Lonchura striata: one gene and its partner. The protein of the gene in region 1 interacts with the protein of each later gene in a pairwise test. Links are inferred from orthologs where the notes say so. Each region holds a gene or a part of one and is shown on either strand. Other genes may lie near its edges.

Region 1 (7,845 bases):
TTCATTATTATGGTCTTTCATTATCTGAGGAGAGTAAATCAATACTTTTGTTCTGTTGTTCAAATAACTAAAAACCCTATGTGAATTCATTCATTATGGGCCTGTTTTCACTACAGGTTCAGTGCTTGCAGCGAAGCTTTCACTGGCATTAAACTAACTGAAGATATCTGTAGTCACACAAAGGGTAACTTGCACTTTTCTCAAAGGTCCTCAGTACTGACATAGTAATAATCTCATTTTTAAAACAGACAAAATAAGCAAAGTCAGAGTAAAAAAGGGATTCATGTTTCAGATTTCATATATATCCAAAGGTAGTACTAGATTGAAGGTCAGATTTATAATTGCTTTTAAACTGCTTCCCTGCCTAAAAGAAAGGGGGGACCATGCCTACCAAGGCGCAACCTACTTTCCCCAACAGCAAATATAGGCCTACCAGCAACAGGTTTGCTTTTCTTAGCTCTTACAGTAATTATTTTTAAGAGGCTACATCCACTTAGAAGATTCTATACACTATACGTGGAAATTTACCAGACAGAGCAGACCCTCCACCTGAATTTCAATGTAGCCCAAGGCAAATTTTGGCAAAGCTTGACCCTATTCTCCCTGTTGTCAACTTCAATTAAATCTTTAGCAAAACTGGGGAAAAAAAAGGCCAAATTGATTTCAGTGTTTAGGAAAAAACCAGTAATTGCACAATCTACAAAAAAGTAATCCATTACACAATATTAGAATGCAAAATGAGTCCTGTAGGGAAGTGCAGTTCTGTGGTAGAGGGTAGTACAGTGGAAAAATACTGAACTATACACAGCTGTGCATCCATGGTAGCTGTGCATTCAGCTCACCTGAAATATTATTTGAGATGACATGGCTCTCCTGGGACAAAATGAACTGTACTTGTGAGAAACACATAGAGTCTTCAGAAAGAACTAAATCACATTTCTTATGAGTAACCAATGCAGCTCTTTGCCCAATAAACAAGCTGCTGTTAAACCATCGAATTCCTCAAATAGCAAGTTCTGCCATGGAAACTGCATGGAAAATAACCTATGGATTTTTTTTTTTTTAATGGAAGGTTTCTTTCCCCTTTAGATGCAAAATGCTACTCAAAAAGCAAATCTGAATGACAACAAAAATCCTCAGTCTTCTGACCATTCACAACACTACAAAACTCCTGCAGTCTTTGCTTTTAGTTGTGCTGAAGTGCAAGGCACAAACTCAGAGAGGGAAGGTTTAGATTAGAGGATATGAGGATAGTCAAACACTGGAAAAAGTTGCCTAGAAACAGGGATGCTCCATCCCTGGAAGTGTTCAAGACTAGGCTGGATGGGGTTTTAAGCAACCTGTTTTACTGAAAGATAACCCTCAACATGGCAAGGGGGTGGAACTAGATAATTTTTAAGGTCCTTTACAACAATTGGCTCTGGCAGCCAATGAGCGCCTTCAGAGTGGTGCTGGGTTTTTCCACATTGCATTACACTGTGCTGCATAGAAATAATTCTCTGGTTAATGTAGCACCAGTTCTTGAGGGAAGACAAAGGATCATAAAAGTCAGCAGAGTAACAGATATCATCTAACCTCCTGAATACTGGCCCCATTGTATTTTCTTTAGGCATTAGATCCAAGCAAGCCATTTATACAGACCTCTGATTTTTAAGATTTCAAGCAATCACAAGTAACTGATCCCTATATTATCCTAATAGCTAGAGCAACACAGCTTACTCAAGGTTGTGTTTGTTAAACTTCCAGTCATGGGATCACCTTACGTAATAAGACTATAAATTTAAAGACTTTAAATCTCTCCAATATTATGACTCTTCCTACATACAGTGATTCATTCTCTTCTTATCCCTTTTCTTTGATAAACTTTGTTTAAAGTCCTTCAACCTCATGTCAAAACTGACTTTCTGTCTTAAAAGGCAAGCATCACATCTGGACACAGTATTCTAGTCAGTTGCTCTATACAGAAGAAAGATAATTTCCCCTGTTTGTGTTTGCCATTTTTCATTTATATATCTGTGTTGTCCTTTTGGTGACATCCCAAAAAGAACTTACACTGAATGCACTACATAAGAACATCCCTACCAAAAAACATTTCCAGTCCTGAAGTAACCATTGCGTTCTTCATTGCTTGCTTGCAGCAGCATTAAAACACATTGTTTTTTAAAACCTAACAATTTAATCCAGCTATTCCGATAATTCTTACTAGTAATTTAGACAGTTTACTACAGAACCATCAAATAATTTATGTTGAAAAGGATCTGAAAAATATCCAGTCTAATCTCTTGCTTAAAGCTGAGCTAGTGTCACAGTAAGAACAGGTAGCCCAGGCCCTTTCTCAGCCTCTCTGGACACCCATCTTTCACAGTTTACCCACTTTCAGGCAATTTTTTTATTTTACATAATAAAATATGCATTATCTAAAAGCATAGCCATGGAAGACTTTATGACCACATTTTAGGTATTTTTAAAAAATAGCTAAACTTTGTTTAAAAATTTAGCCACAAAAAGTATACAGGCCTAATTAGCAACAGCCTTCTACACTGGCACCTGACCACTGAGAAGCGTTATAGTCCATGTAGCAGATACAAAATCTGTTAATTCAGCCTAATTTCATTGGTTTAGTAAAACAGCATGCAATATTGAATTAGAAGCTCCAATACAGCCCAATGAAACAAGAAGACTGAGAGTCAGACCAGTTGTTTCTGTCAAAAAAGATTTACTTTGTATGATGGCAGGCTGGCTGGTACTCCTTTTGACTGTTAACTTTAGCTATTAGTGCCCTCCATTGCTCCTGGGAGTTATCAAAGCAACAGCTACTGCCTCATTCACCTGCTTTCTCCAGCTGCTAATTTCAGCTGTGTAACTTCTGCAATTTTCTGCAAAAGTTCAGCTGCTTAAAGTATTCCTCCTCTAAGTCTTTAACATTCTTAGGAACTGTACAGCTATGCTGATTAGAAAATGTTTAATTTCAGCAGACGCTGCTTTACATCTTCCTTGAGTGCAGTAATACTTCAAGTCTCTTATCCAAGTGCCAATTAGTCCTTGAAGCACACAAAATTTGACCAGCAGTAGATAAAAGATAGACCCAGAAAGATCTTATGGCTTTCCACAGGCTCACTGCTCTTGGCATTAATACTATGTATTTATTGGTAGAGAAGTTACTGCTATGACAGCATTTTGCTTCAAAACGTGTTTGCAAGATAGCACTCTAAGAAGGCAAGTCTGAGGGTTATGAAGTCATACATGGAAAGAAACTTGGTTTTCATATTTACCTGGGTAATTTACTTGCCATCTTGCTCTTAATTTTATTTGAACACACTTCTTTAACTTTTAATAAAGTTTTTTTTAAAATGTCATAATTGTTTGAATGCTGTCACATTTGGTTGTTATAGTTCCAAATGTTTACTCCTTCTCCATTTGGGACTATGAATCTAATACACAGTAACATGACTACTTAAGAGGAGCTATTACACTTTATGTCAACCCAGCTGCTATGTACATAAAAGTTGCATAATAACAATTCTGATGTTAATTTTGATTTTAAAAACTGTTTGCCAGGAACTATTTTTCCACTTTTGATATTTAAGCTAATTAAAATATTTTCTTGCCAAGATAACCAAATATGTTAATGTTTATCGTTATTTAGATAAATTGGTGCTGAATTCAGTTTATCAGAAGTGGGTGGTTCATATGAATATTAAACTCCTCTAATTTTAGAACAGCAAAATGTATTTTTAATCTGCTCTGGAAAGTTTAAGTGGCAAATTTTCCACATCTTCCCTAATTCTTTATACTACTGCTTAAATACCTCTGCAGCTGAAAGCTTTTATTCATGTGCATCCTTGTACTGCTGTACTTTCAAGTTCTCTGTGGTATGTGAAAAAGTAGTGGGTGAAGAGAAGAATGCTACCTTGCCCTTTATCCCAGTTTATTCCATACATGCCTAAGGTGCTCATGTGCTACACAGGGAAATAGTTAAAAAGGACACTATTCTGCATTCAATTTATTTCTCTACACCATCATCCACCAAAGAGAAGGCAGCAGCAACTCAGTGGAAATCTGCCAGCCTATCACACCTTTCTCGGATGGCAACTGACCACGTTCCTTTCTCTTCTTGTGGACGACAAGGTAGGCTGCCGAAAAACCTCGCAGAACTCCAGTGAAATTCCACCTTCGTGGGTGGTTTTTGACAGAGGCCTCCATGTTCACACGAGCTGTAGCTGACCTGCAAGAGGCGGCTGCCGTGTGTGTGTGACCAGCCCCTCGCGGTGGAGAGCTGGTGCGTGTGCTGTGTTTCTGAAGGACGGCCGGCCGCGGATACCAAGTAGAAGAGAGATGATGGCTGGACTGATGAGGCCGGCGCCCTGGTCCATCCAAAAGGGTGGCACCTGATATGTCCCTTAATCCAAGGCCCTGCACAATGGCAGGAACCGCCTAGCCCGGCTCCGCGCGCGGGTTTTCCTTCCCGCAGGCAGCCCCGGGAGCCGGGCCTCACCAGGCACACCGCTCCCCGTGCCGCCGGGCCCGGCCCGGCCCACCGCCCCCGGCCCGGGCGAGGCCGGGCCGCCGGATCCCGCCGGTCCTCCCCGCCCCGCGGCGCTGCGGAGCTCCCGCCCTCGCCCCTCTCTCTTCCTCCGCCGGCAGCTGCGGCATCCCCGGGGCGGCGGGACCGGCAGCGAACCGCCCCCCGCGCACGGCCCGGGCTGCTGCGGTCTCCGCGGTGCCGGTCCGTGCCCGAGGCGAGCGCGGCGAAGCGGGGCGGCTCGCCAGGCCCGGCTCCCGCAGCGCAGCCATGCCGGCAGCCCGCGCCGGGCCGCGCCGGGCCGCTCTGCGCCCGCAGCATCGCGGCGGCCCGTGTGCGATGAGCCGCCCACCCCTGGGCACCTTCTCCGCCCCGCTCGCCTCCTCCTCCCACGGAGCCACCCTCCTCCTCCGCCCCCTCTCCCTGCCAGCCTCCTCCCCGCCCTTCCCCGCACTCCACGCCGGTGCCGGAGCCGCGCGTCACTCGGGCTCCAGCCCCGCCGCAGATATGGCGACACTGACAGCGGTCCAGCCGCTCACGCTGGACAGAGGTAAGCGCGGCTGCCGCGGCTCCCTGGCCGCGCCTCCCCGGCCGCCCTGCCCGGGGGCCACCGCGGCAAGCGCCGGCTCTGCCCCCGCAGCTCCGGCGGGCGGGCGCTGCCGCGGCACAGCTCCGGCCCCGCAGTGCCCGCGGCTGGCGGCGGCGGCGGGCAGCGGGGATGCCCCTCTCGGCGGGGTTCAGGTGGGCGGCGAGAGAAGGTCTGAAACGGAGGGGATAAAACTTTGTGCGGGCAGGGGCCGGGATGGGGCGGGTATCCCGCCGCCGGTAGCGCCGCGGTGCCGCAAGAGCAGGACGCGGCTCCGCGGTCAGCGCTCCGGTCCGGAGGCGCTCCTCGGTGCCGCTCCGCCGCCCCCGCCCCGCGGGGCTCCCCGGGGGCGGCCCCGCCGTGGCTCCGCGCCGAGGCCCCGCGTCGCCACCCCCGCAGGTGGCTCGGCGGGGGATGCTCGGTGGCGGGGCAGCGCCGCTCCGGCTGCGGGCCGGGAGCCCACGCCTCTACGAGAGCGTTGTTTTCCGGCAAAATACGGCTTTTTAGGGGCTTGCGCCGCGGTGTGCGGGGATGGTTTCCGTGACTGCAACTTGTCCGTTCGCATGCAGAAGATCGGTTCTGCGTATTCGCGTAGACAGATGCGCGGTCCGGGTAGGGAGAGCATTGGTGTTTGGGTAGCCTTGAGGCTGTGTCAGTAGTAATCTTATACAGGGTAGCATAAGAGGGTGCTGAAATCTTGAAGTTTACAATTAAACTTTTGCCTTCAGGCTGTAAAAATTGAACTTCATACCCTAGCAGTGCAGTTGTTCCCGTAATATGGTTCACCAGAAACCTCATTCAAATCGATTTCTGTGGGTTACAAGGGAGAGCAGCTTTGCTCCTACCCCTCCCAGTACGGCATTCTGAATTGCCGAGATGTCCTTCTTCCTCTTGCATCCAGAGGCTTCAAGAGGCTCCCAGTCCCTATAAATCTTGTACTCTTGAAGGAATAATTGAGGCCAGTGCCTTGCTGTTTTAAAAGTTTGTTTGTTTGTTTTTTCCAAAGGATTAAGACGAATTTGTTGAAGTAAGATGGAGATTTTTTTTTTTCTGTGAATCCTATGCAAATGAAACACAAACTCTGTTTCAAAATTGTAAAGGAGAGGTAGGCACCATTTCTAGAACCCAATTGAGAGCAAAACAGCCCACAAAGTACTCCACTTAGATTCCAGCATTAGTAGAAAGAGAGAAGCTAAAGTTATTTTTACTGAAATAGCAAAGTGTTAGCCTGCATTTTAAATTAAACTGCTCAGAAATCCACTGTGTAATCTACAGTTTCACCCTAATACTGTTTTCAGTAAGCAGGACAAATCTACTTTCTGGCAAAGGGTTGAACAGATGGCAATCCATTAGCAAACCTGACTCTTCAAACGAAATACTACTATTTCAGAATTATACATCCCTTTTTGCAAAACAATGCTTTAAAAATTCCACAATGCGCAAAAATGCAAATTAGTTCCAATTTAAATATAAGCATCTGCTATCTGTGTCCAGGATATGCCTAACCATTTGGCAGGCATGCCAGTGTTACAGTCTTCCTGGTTGTCAGCTACGGCTGGTATTCATATGAGTGAGATAAAACATCACAGAATGATAGGATGTGATGTGCAAAACAAAAACACAGGCAAGAGGAAATAGATTTAAATAGTGTTCCTGACCTGCAGAAGGCCATTTCGTCAGAGGGATACACTTCATCACTTTGTAACATGCGGCTGCATCAACTGTAGAGAATAGGCTGAAGCAATTCCAGAGGCAACTAGACCACACCAGTGCTTCCAAGTATTTCCTCTGTAGTCTTTCTTTCACAGTCATGGGAGACGGGAAGTTCTACATAGTGAGATTTTCAAGATTCCTGTTACTTTGGTTAAAGCACATGAGCCATGTTTACAGTCACTATGCCTTGCACTTTTCTGCTTTGATCTTTAAAAGTCCCTTAAAAGTCTTGTACCCTCATATCCATTTCACTCAGCATAGCAATAAAATAGGGAGCATTTCAGGAGAGGTAGTATTGTTACTCTTGTATTTCTGAGGGAATTGCTTCTTGATCTCTGTCCAGGAATTGTTCTGCATTCCTCCTTGCTATGGGTCACTGACACTGGTAAAACATCATAAGGATATATACATTAGAAATATGAATTACACTCTGACATTGTCTCCTCCTGGAAAAAATATAATGACTGTATTCTAGTACGTAGATGGGAGCTTTCTTAAAGCCTGACATAAATGGCATTCAAAACCTGTATGGTAAAATGAATTACCATTTAAAGGTGAAGGGCATGGTGTGTGTGAATGATTGAAAGCCAATTATATTCTGGAAGATTACTTCAGTCCAAAGCACAGGAATTAATTTCCTTAATTCCTATCATCATGTGCCTTTCTACCTGCACAAATGTGTGCAAGTTCCATTAGGGCTCTTTAATATGTAGAACAAGTTCGCAAAATAATGGAAATTTTAATCACTTACAATTTAATCTCTAAGGCTTTTGCCTGACCTTTGCATGGTGCTCTGTTGGGAGGAGGAGAAGAAATCAGCAACTGTTTCAGGAAGGAAACCTAAGGCATTGTAGTGAGGAGTGGTACCACTTAGGGAAGGTGGCCCTAGCATTTGGGAGCTCTGGGAGAGGGATGTGCCTCCTGGGTGTCTTCCAAAAGCCAAGGGAGTCACGTCTTGGAGAAAATGCTCCCTTCCTACCTTTATTGCAAATGTCTTACACCCTGAATCAATAGCACCCCATCA
Region 2 (7,787 bases), on another chromosome or scaffold:
TCTTTACCAGCAGACATATACTGATCACCTTCCATTAAAAATAAGAACAAACCCCAAAAGCTTACTTTAAAATAGTCTGAGATGTAAACTTAATTAGTTATAATTTCCTCTTTCTTCTGGTTCATACTTTAGCTTGAACTACACTTGAGACATTTTGTCTAGTTTGTCTAGCTGGATTGGGAGTGAAGGAAAGAGGATGTGTACATAAAGTGCCCCTGTTGTCAGAACTGCTGTATTGAGGAACACTCCACAGTAGATAACTACACTAGAAAACCAATTCTGCCAGCAGACCTGATTTTAAACCACCACTTAAATTGTTTCCACCAAGTTTTCTACCATAGACATATTGCAAACCTTTTCAAATGGACAAATGCCTCTCTTTGTCCATTAATAGAAGGAAAACAATAGAGCAGTATTTAATTAATATTTACAAAAAGTCTTGAGGTTTTCAAATGTGTGATCAAGGCAGCAATTAGTGTTCCAAATACCGTAATGTCGAGTATTTCTGCAACAGTGACCGAGAAAATACTTTAAAAATGTCAGTTGCTAAATATTTAAAAATTTAGAACATGTCACATGAATACAAATACAAATCCTGCTATCTAGGAAGTACCACACTGTTTGAAATTTTAGCCTTCAGCATTCTGAAAGCCTAACACTGTAAAAGGAATGCACTTCAAAGTACAAACTGGGAAAAAATGGTAGCTGCAACAGTTAAAACAGTTAGCTTCTGATGTTAAGATCCAATCTTTGAAGAGACATAATAGAATTTGCATCTAAAAATGCTGTAGGTTTCTTAAAAGCCTACAACTTCTAAGTATAACAGGAGATTCTAATCAAAGCAGCAAATGAAGTATTAGGAAAATTTAATCTTTTTATTACAACAAATGTAATTATTTTTTTTATAAACAAGGATCAATAAATGGATGCACATAAACTTCAGACTACATTAAGTTTTCTGTATCCGTAACTCTTGGTATGAATCCCAACTTCTGCACTGCATTTTCTATGGTTCTTTACCTTGTACTGCTGTGGTACTGAAAGATGCCTGTCACCCCTCAAAGGTCATAAGTAATTCCTGCAGATTCCTAAGCCAGATAAATCAGTCTACTGAAGAAATATTTTGATGCACATTTCTAAGTTCAGAATTTCTGAGAAGAAATTTAATAAAAACTAAACAAAATTAGAGTCTTCACCAAGAGCTAATTATTTACAGAAAAACATCACCATCCTCTGTTATTCCACACATTGCAAGGTAATATGACACACATTGGAAGAATGTAAACTCTGAAAAAAAATAATTAAAGAGTTCAGTGATCATGGACTAACATTTAAGTCTCTATTACTTTATCATTATTAACAATGATAATTAAATATAACATCCTACAACATTGCTTCAAAACACTGTAATATTTTTGATATTATGTTAAAAGTGTCTACAAGAGTAGACAATTACTTAAGCTTTTAATGTGTAAAATACTGGATTTTTTTTAAAGTACAATGTTGGAAAAGAGTTAACGTGTATCATCCAGGCAGATCTAAAGTGTTTCGCATTCAGATGTGCAGTAACAGCTCTAATATGATCATAAGGAAAAAATATGTACTGTGAAAATTTGGACAACAGATCAAAACCAAAAGCTTGCAGACTCAGATGTCTAAAGCCAATACAAAGATGCCTTTTTTTACAAATTCATGAAAAACATCTCAATCTTTAAAAAGGACAGAGATCCCTTTAAGGCATTGGCAACAGAAGCATCTAACACATAGAAGATCACCACAGTCACTTGTTAGAAGTCTGACTGCAGTCAGCTGTATATTATCATGTATCTAGAATGAAATTATTTTGCTCTGTTAAGTGAGCTATGGATATAGTCTACGCCTAAATAATTGCAATAGAGGCTTTATCTTTAAAAGAAAATACCCTCCATAGCACTTATTGATATTTACCGCTTTTAATATTCTTCATGAAGTTATTTTTTGTGGATCTGTCCCATGTGAGACATCTAACAATATTATTGTTTTAGACAGCTTTGTTTGTATATAAATATTCCGCAGTAAGGTCAAATACAAGTTAATTTAATTTTCTCCCGCGGTCTGTCTCACCGAGCTCACAGTCACCGCGTTCTTTGTTGCCTGGCTGTAGTGTCTCTCTCTCCCAGCACACAGCCTCGATGCCTCCGCCAGGAAAGCGGCAGCACCGCAGGAGCATTACCACTACAGCTTTGGGAAAACGGAGCCGCTCCAACCGGGACGTGCGCTAACTGCTGCTGACTGTAAAACACACTGGAAGTCGCCCACGTTCAACCTGCTTTAACTTAGCTCCGCAAAGCTTCATAAACCCATACGAAGCAAAAACTTCACAGAGGAATAATTTCCAAACACAGAGCTGCCAGAGCATCAGAAGTGCACAGGAGGGGGCCCTAAAGTTTCCCCCCTCATTGTTTAAACTCGTACACAACGCTTAACAAGTCCGCAGAGAGAGCACACAGCCAAGTGAGGGAGGTTTTCTTACAACTCCTGGGCCTAAGCTCCGGGAAGCATCCCAAGAAAGGGCGGCAGGAAAGCCGCAGGATACGCTCTCGGGAGGCCCCCGCGCTCCCGCAGCGCCGCCGGCACCTGTAGCCGCCGCGGCCGGGGCCGCCCCGCCCGGCCGGGACCCGCGGCCAAGGTACAGCCCGGGCCACCGCCAGCGGGGTGCGGGGACCGGGGCCGAGCCCCGAGTGCCGCCGAGCCCGGCTGTGCCCCGCCGTCCCGCCCGGTCTCGGCCCGGCCGGACCCCCGGGCCTGCGCGGGCGCCGTGGCCGCGGGGGAGGCTCCGGCCAGACGCGACTCGCGGCGGGACCTGTTGCTCGCGCGCTGGGCACGGCGCTCCGCTCACCGTCCGTCTTTTTCCGCCGCTGACACGCTCCAGCCCCGCCGCCGGCTGGAAGTCGGAGTCCCCGGCGTCCCGCGGCGCCCCCGCGCCCAGCCCGCGGAACCGTCCGGCCACAGCCCCCGCAGCGCTGCGCAGCCGCCGCCCGGCCCGGCCCGGCCCGGCCCGGCCCGCCCCCGCGCCGCCGCCCCGCCCCCCGCGCAGGCGCGGCGCCGCCCACGGCCGCCTCGGCCGGGCGGCGAGCGGCGCTGCCTCCGAGGCCGCGGCGGCGGTCGGCGCCGCCCGCAGGTGGCGTGGACACGTGGACGCGGTGCTGCTTCTGTGTCGCCTTCCTCGCAGAATCGCGGAATCGAGTAGGTTGGAAAGACCTCTGAAATTACCGAGTCCAACCTAGGACCGAACACCACCTTGTCGACTGGACCCTGGCACTGAGTGCCACGGCCAGTCTTTGCTTAAACGCTTCAGGGACGGTGACTCCCCTGCCTCCCTGGGCAGCCCATTTCAGTCCAGTCCATTCCGGCCGTCATCTCCCATCTCTCTGCCACGGCTTCCTCTGCGGCCCGAGCGGGACCACCAGGGCAGCCCGTGTCCCGGGCAGACCTGGCTCCCCCCCGGCCACTCGCTCCTTCCCCCTCGCCCAGCTCCAGCTGCCGCCCCCCGCCCTTTCTCCTCCACCCTCTCTGGCATCCCCCCGTTCGCCCGCTGCTGCTGCCGCATCCTCAGCCCAGCTTGAATGCCCCAGCCAGGCTGGAGCCTGTGTGGGCAATAAAGTATTTAATCTCATCGAGAGTCCACTCTGCCTCTGGGAGGCTGAGGCATAGAAGGCGCCCATAACACTCTGTCTGGAAGAATGAAGAAAACAAGAGGTTACAAGTAGTTTTACCGGGTTGTTTGTATCCTTGGCTGTGTTTTTCAGGAACAGGGGAACGTCTTTTTAGCGCACAACAGTTAAGTTTGACTTCGAGCTGCAAACTGCACTCACTTCCCTGGTTTTTCAGGCTAGCCTGCCTAGATCGTTGCTCAAGGCATTAGAAGAAATGTTCTGTGTAACCAGACAAGTAAAAAAAGGCTCACTTAGATAACTAAGAAGTCCTAAAGAGATACCTGCTTTCGTCCATCTCTCCTTGCTTCAGTTTATCTGTATAAAAATCTGTGCAATTTAACTCGATCATTCTTCACAGTGAAATCCACACTTTCTATAATGGTACCCAATATATCATGTTTTCAAATAATGTTCTTATGGTTTTTCTTTTTCTGTGAAAAGGCTTAATACAATAATGTATGTCCTGACCAGTTACCTGCAGAGTAAAGTCTGAAAGCCTTTCTACCTTTTCACATTGTGACTCAAACTCCCCAGGGCAGCATGCCTTATAAGTGCATTTAACATCTGTTTTTGTTCTGACCAATACTGAGGGGCTTTGCATCAAGTGAACACAACTGGAACACTGCAGGAGATACAGATGTTAGTGGACTGCGGAATTATTTACTTGGGAAATAAAAAAGAGAGGGAAACCATGACACTGGTAATTTGTGGCTGAGCAGCACCAAGCGTGGTTCTTCGCACCTTCATATGAACATGGTTCATAAAAGTTCACATGAACCCTTTCTTAGAAAGCACTTTGACAAAGGACCTTATAACTAAAGGATGTTTTCAAAATGTGATACTTACCTAGAAGATATGACTGCAAAAAGTAGGTAGGTTCATCAGTTATCTGTTCACTGTTGAACTCTTTTCTATGTCCAAGGTTGGAATGGTCAGACAAAAAAAGACACAAATTCTGCTTACAATTTCCTTCAGCTGATAGCATTTTTACTTCCTTTCCACAGAAAATCTCATTGCCTCCAATTTGCATGTTGTCCAGCAGCTATTTTTAAAGCCAGCATAAAGGAATTTTCTTCAATATGGTGTGTAATTTGTCATAAAATAAAGAAAGATTCTCATCAGTTCTAGAACTTCCTCCTTTACTGTCTTTACTGTCTTGTAGCTGAAGTTTATTTTTTTTTTTTTGCCAGAAGGGGTTACCAGACCAGATTAAGACTGAGTTTGGAATATCTCTTGGATATATCTGCTTAAGGATCTGTTTGTTTCTTTGGTAACCAATCTCCTCCCTCTGGCTTTCACAAGGCATCACAGAAACCCTAATATTAGCCTGTGCCCAGCTGGCAAATCCATTCAAATGGTACTTGAATGAGATGTGCTTGGCTAATTCTATCCAACAGATTAAAGTACTCTGTCAGGCCAAGAAGTTGTCATACCTGAAAACGATTCACAATAGAGAACAGGATCAGCAGCATTATTCGTAAGGACCCAGATAACCTTTCTGTTTTGAATCACTTCAATAGACAGCTCTTATGGTTCATTTTGTCTTGTGGGTGCTGTTTGGTGATATGCTGAGAACACAGTAATTACTCTGAGAAAATAAACATTTTAGCTTAAATTTAACAAAATCTTCAAATTGAAAAGATACAGAGAAGGAAGGTGAATGGGAGGATGAGGAATGACAATGGAATTATGATTGGGAAGATCAAAGCTTTTAATCTTCCTTTGTTTTGTTTTAGCTGATTAATCTTTCATATGAGGATCTATAAAGACAGCTTTTAAAGGAAATGAGAAAACTACCTACCAAAGTAGTATAAAGCTTTCTGTTTCATCTCTTGTTCAAAGTGTTCAGTTATTATCTTTAAGTAGAAAGGAACTAAAAATAAATACCCAAGTGATACCTTTTGTGAGCTTGGATCTTTGAACATTTTAATTTTAGACAACAATTTTTCTATGTTTTTGCTATTTGGCATTATGGAAACATTAAAGCCTGCTTGCAGCTGCAGAACCAGTGTATTTAGGCAACATTATTTATTATAGAACTTTATTTTTAAGATTGGTGTATTAATTCCACAGACAAATATTTTTTAACAAAGAAAATGTTCATTTTTGACGAATTGAATTTGACATGAATTAGTGTCACTGTTTACCAGCAGGGTGCAGATATAATTGTGATCAATCTAAATCTGGCTGATTGCAATCAATAGAAAAGAGAAAAAAAAAATTCTGACTCAAGTTGAGGAATCAGCCTAACATAGAACAAAATGTTTTCTTTGAAACCATTGCCCTCTGGAGGGGAAATGAAAAATCACCAAGGGATCAGAGAACTCCTTTTTATTTCACTATTTAACTATATTTGTGCTTTGCAATCTCTGAATGGTTCTACAGAGGGTTGCAATAAAGCAGTGCTGTCAGAAGGGCCTCACTGGCCACAGTGCTTATGTCAGTGGGTTGAAGAAGTAATCCCCATCTGTCTGCCCCATAACTCTCCTCCCCTTTATCTCTAAACTCTTTATCTCTAAACTCATGGAGCATCAGTTCTACAGCAGATGTACTTTCTCTTCTAACTCCACCTTGGATCCTTTCCAAGCTGGTGTCATCCCTCTTTATTTGCCAAAATACATTTTTATGCAATCCCTGAGGCATTCTTGTCTGCCTATGCCACACTCTGTATTCCATTCTCTTTCTTGACCTTTCTGCTGTTTGATTGGTTGGTTAGTTCTTTTATTATCTTGATTACCCTTTTCTTCTTGATCTTTAATTCTTGCACAGCTCTGAGAAATTATGTACTGTTCTTTCTATCTCTCTACTTTCTTGTCTGACATCTATTGAAATAGACTTTTTTCCTCCTGTCTCTGAGAACCTCACAGGGATTTTTCTCTTGGCCTTCAGATATTGATTATATCTTGGATTATCACATTTAAATGTCACCTGTAATTGAATATGAATGAAAGTGAACTCCTGCCTGCTCAGACTTTGTCTATATATTCTCCCTATATTGGTGGGGAAATGACAGCATTGCTCAGTGAACTTTCCAGTCTGATTTACAACAATCTGATACCTCCTGACTACAAATTTGATTATTGTTTTAACTCTTAAGTAGACACATACCCCAGCCATCTGAAAGAATGTAACAGCAGCACTAGTCCACATGTAGGACTGGTTTCATTCAGTATCTAATGTTTTGAAGAAGAATGCAAAACACCAAAGTCCCTAAGGCAAATTCTGCATTAAGCAAGGAAAAAAAAGTAGACTTCTCAGTGTCCATAACCCAGCAACAGACACCCTAAATTTTGAAATCAATTACAGGAATCCAATTTAATTTCAACATTTTTCATTGTTTAGGACAACAAATACTAAGGATTCAAATGTAGTTACATTTTTCTTCTTGATAGCATCTAGAATTTTTGCTTACTTCCTATTGAATAACCTCATTCTGCATTCAATTTCATCTGGGTAGCCAGAACATCTTCCTCTCTGGTTTCTAGTGCCCTCTGCCACTCCTTATAATCCTTCAGATAAAAATTGTACAATTCCAAGTAAGGTCATAATATTTATGAGTAGGGTCATAAACACAAGAGAAGTTCAGCTGCAGGGAAAGGTTAATCTCCAGAAGAGATGTCTTAAATCTGGCAGTACTGTCCATCCCTCAATGTGAGGTTTTAAGCTCAGAAATAGGAATGGTTCCCAGAACATGGATGCCCCAAATAAAAACTAGAAGTGAGGTTGTTAGTGTAACACTTTGGGGCACTATTTTTAATCCAGAAAAGAAAGAACAGGCAATAAAAATTATCCTTCTTCCACTGTTTTCCCCTATTAAGTTTTACTCAAATTAGTGATTGTCTTTTCTCTTTGTGTCTGTTTGCTGATTCTTGTTTTTCCTCTGTTTGTGAAGAAATAACAATTTATGAGATAGCTCAGGGATCTGTGAGAAAATAGGGGAAGAACCAACAAAAAGAACTAACAAAAGTTTCAGCAGTTGATACTGCCTAAGGAAAATACTTAGGTGGTAAATCCTATTGAAAGAAGACATTTATGGTTTTTAGATTCTTCCCAGATACAATCCTCTTTCCTGAAAGGCAGCATAGTAGTGGT

What was found. The genes of interacting proteins can lie anywhere in the genome.
Region 2: the proteins of LIN7A (region 1) and PALS1 interact in binary tests that used the Homo sapiens proteins (3 or more experiments, as listed by UniProt). The two-hybrid records come from large-scale screens. The link is inferred for Lonchura striata from reciprocal best matches to the Homo sapiens genes LIN7A and PALS1.

The regions. Positions count from the first base shown.
Region 1 is NC_134607.1:49,054,595-49,062,439, reverse strand, and holds the start of LIN7A (protein lin-7 homolog A), read left to right. Parts: upstream 1-4,786; 5' UTR 4,787-4,792; coding exon 4,793-5,072; intron 5,073-7,845. UniProt on the Homo sapiens protein: Plays a role in establishing and maintaining the asymmetric distribution of channels and receptors at the plasma membrane of polarized cells.
Region 2 is NC_134608.1:32,711,701-32,719,487, reverse strand, and holds the start of PALS1 (protein PALS1), read right to left. Parts: upstream 3,014-7,787; 5' UTR 2,879-3,013; intron 1-2,878. UniProt on the Homo sapiens protein: Plays a role in tight junction biogenesis and in the establishment of cell polarity in epithelial cells.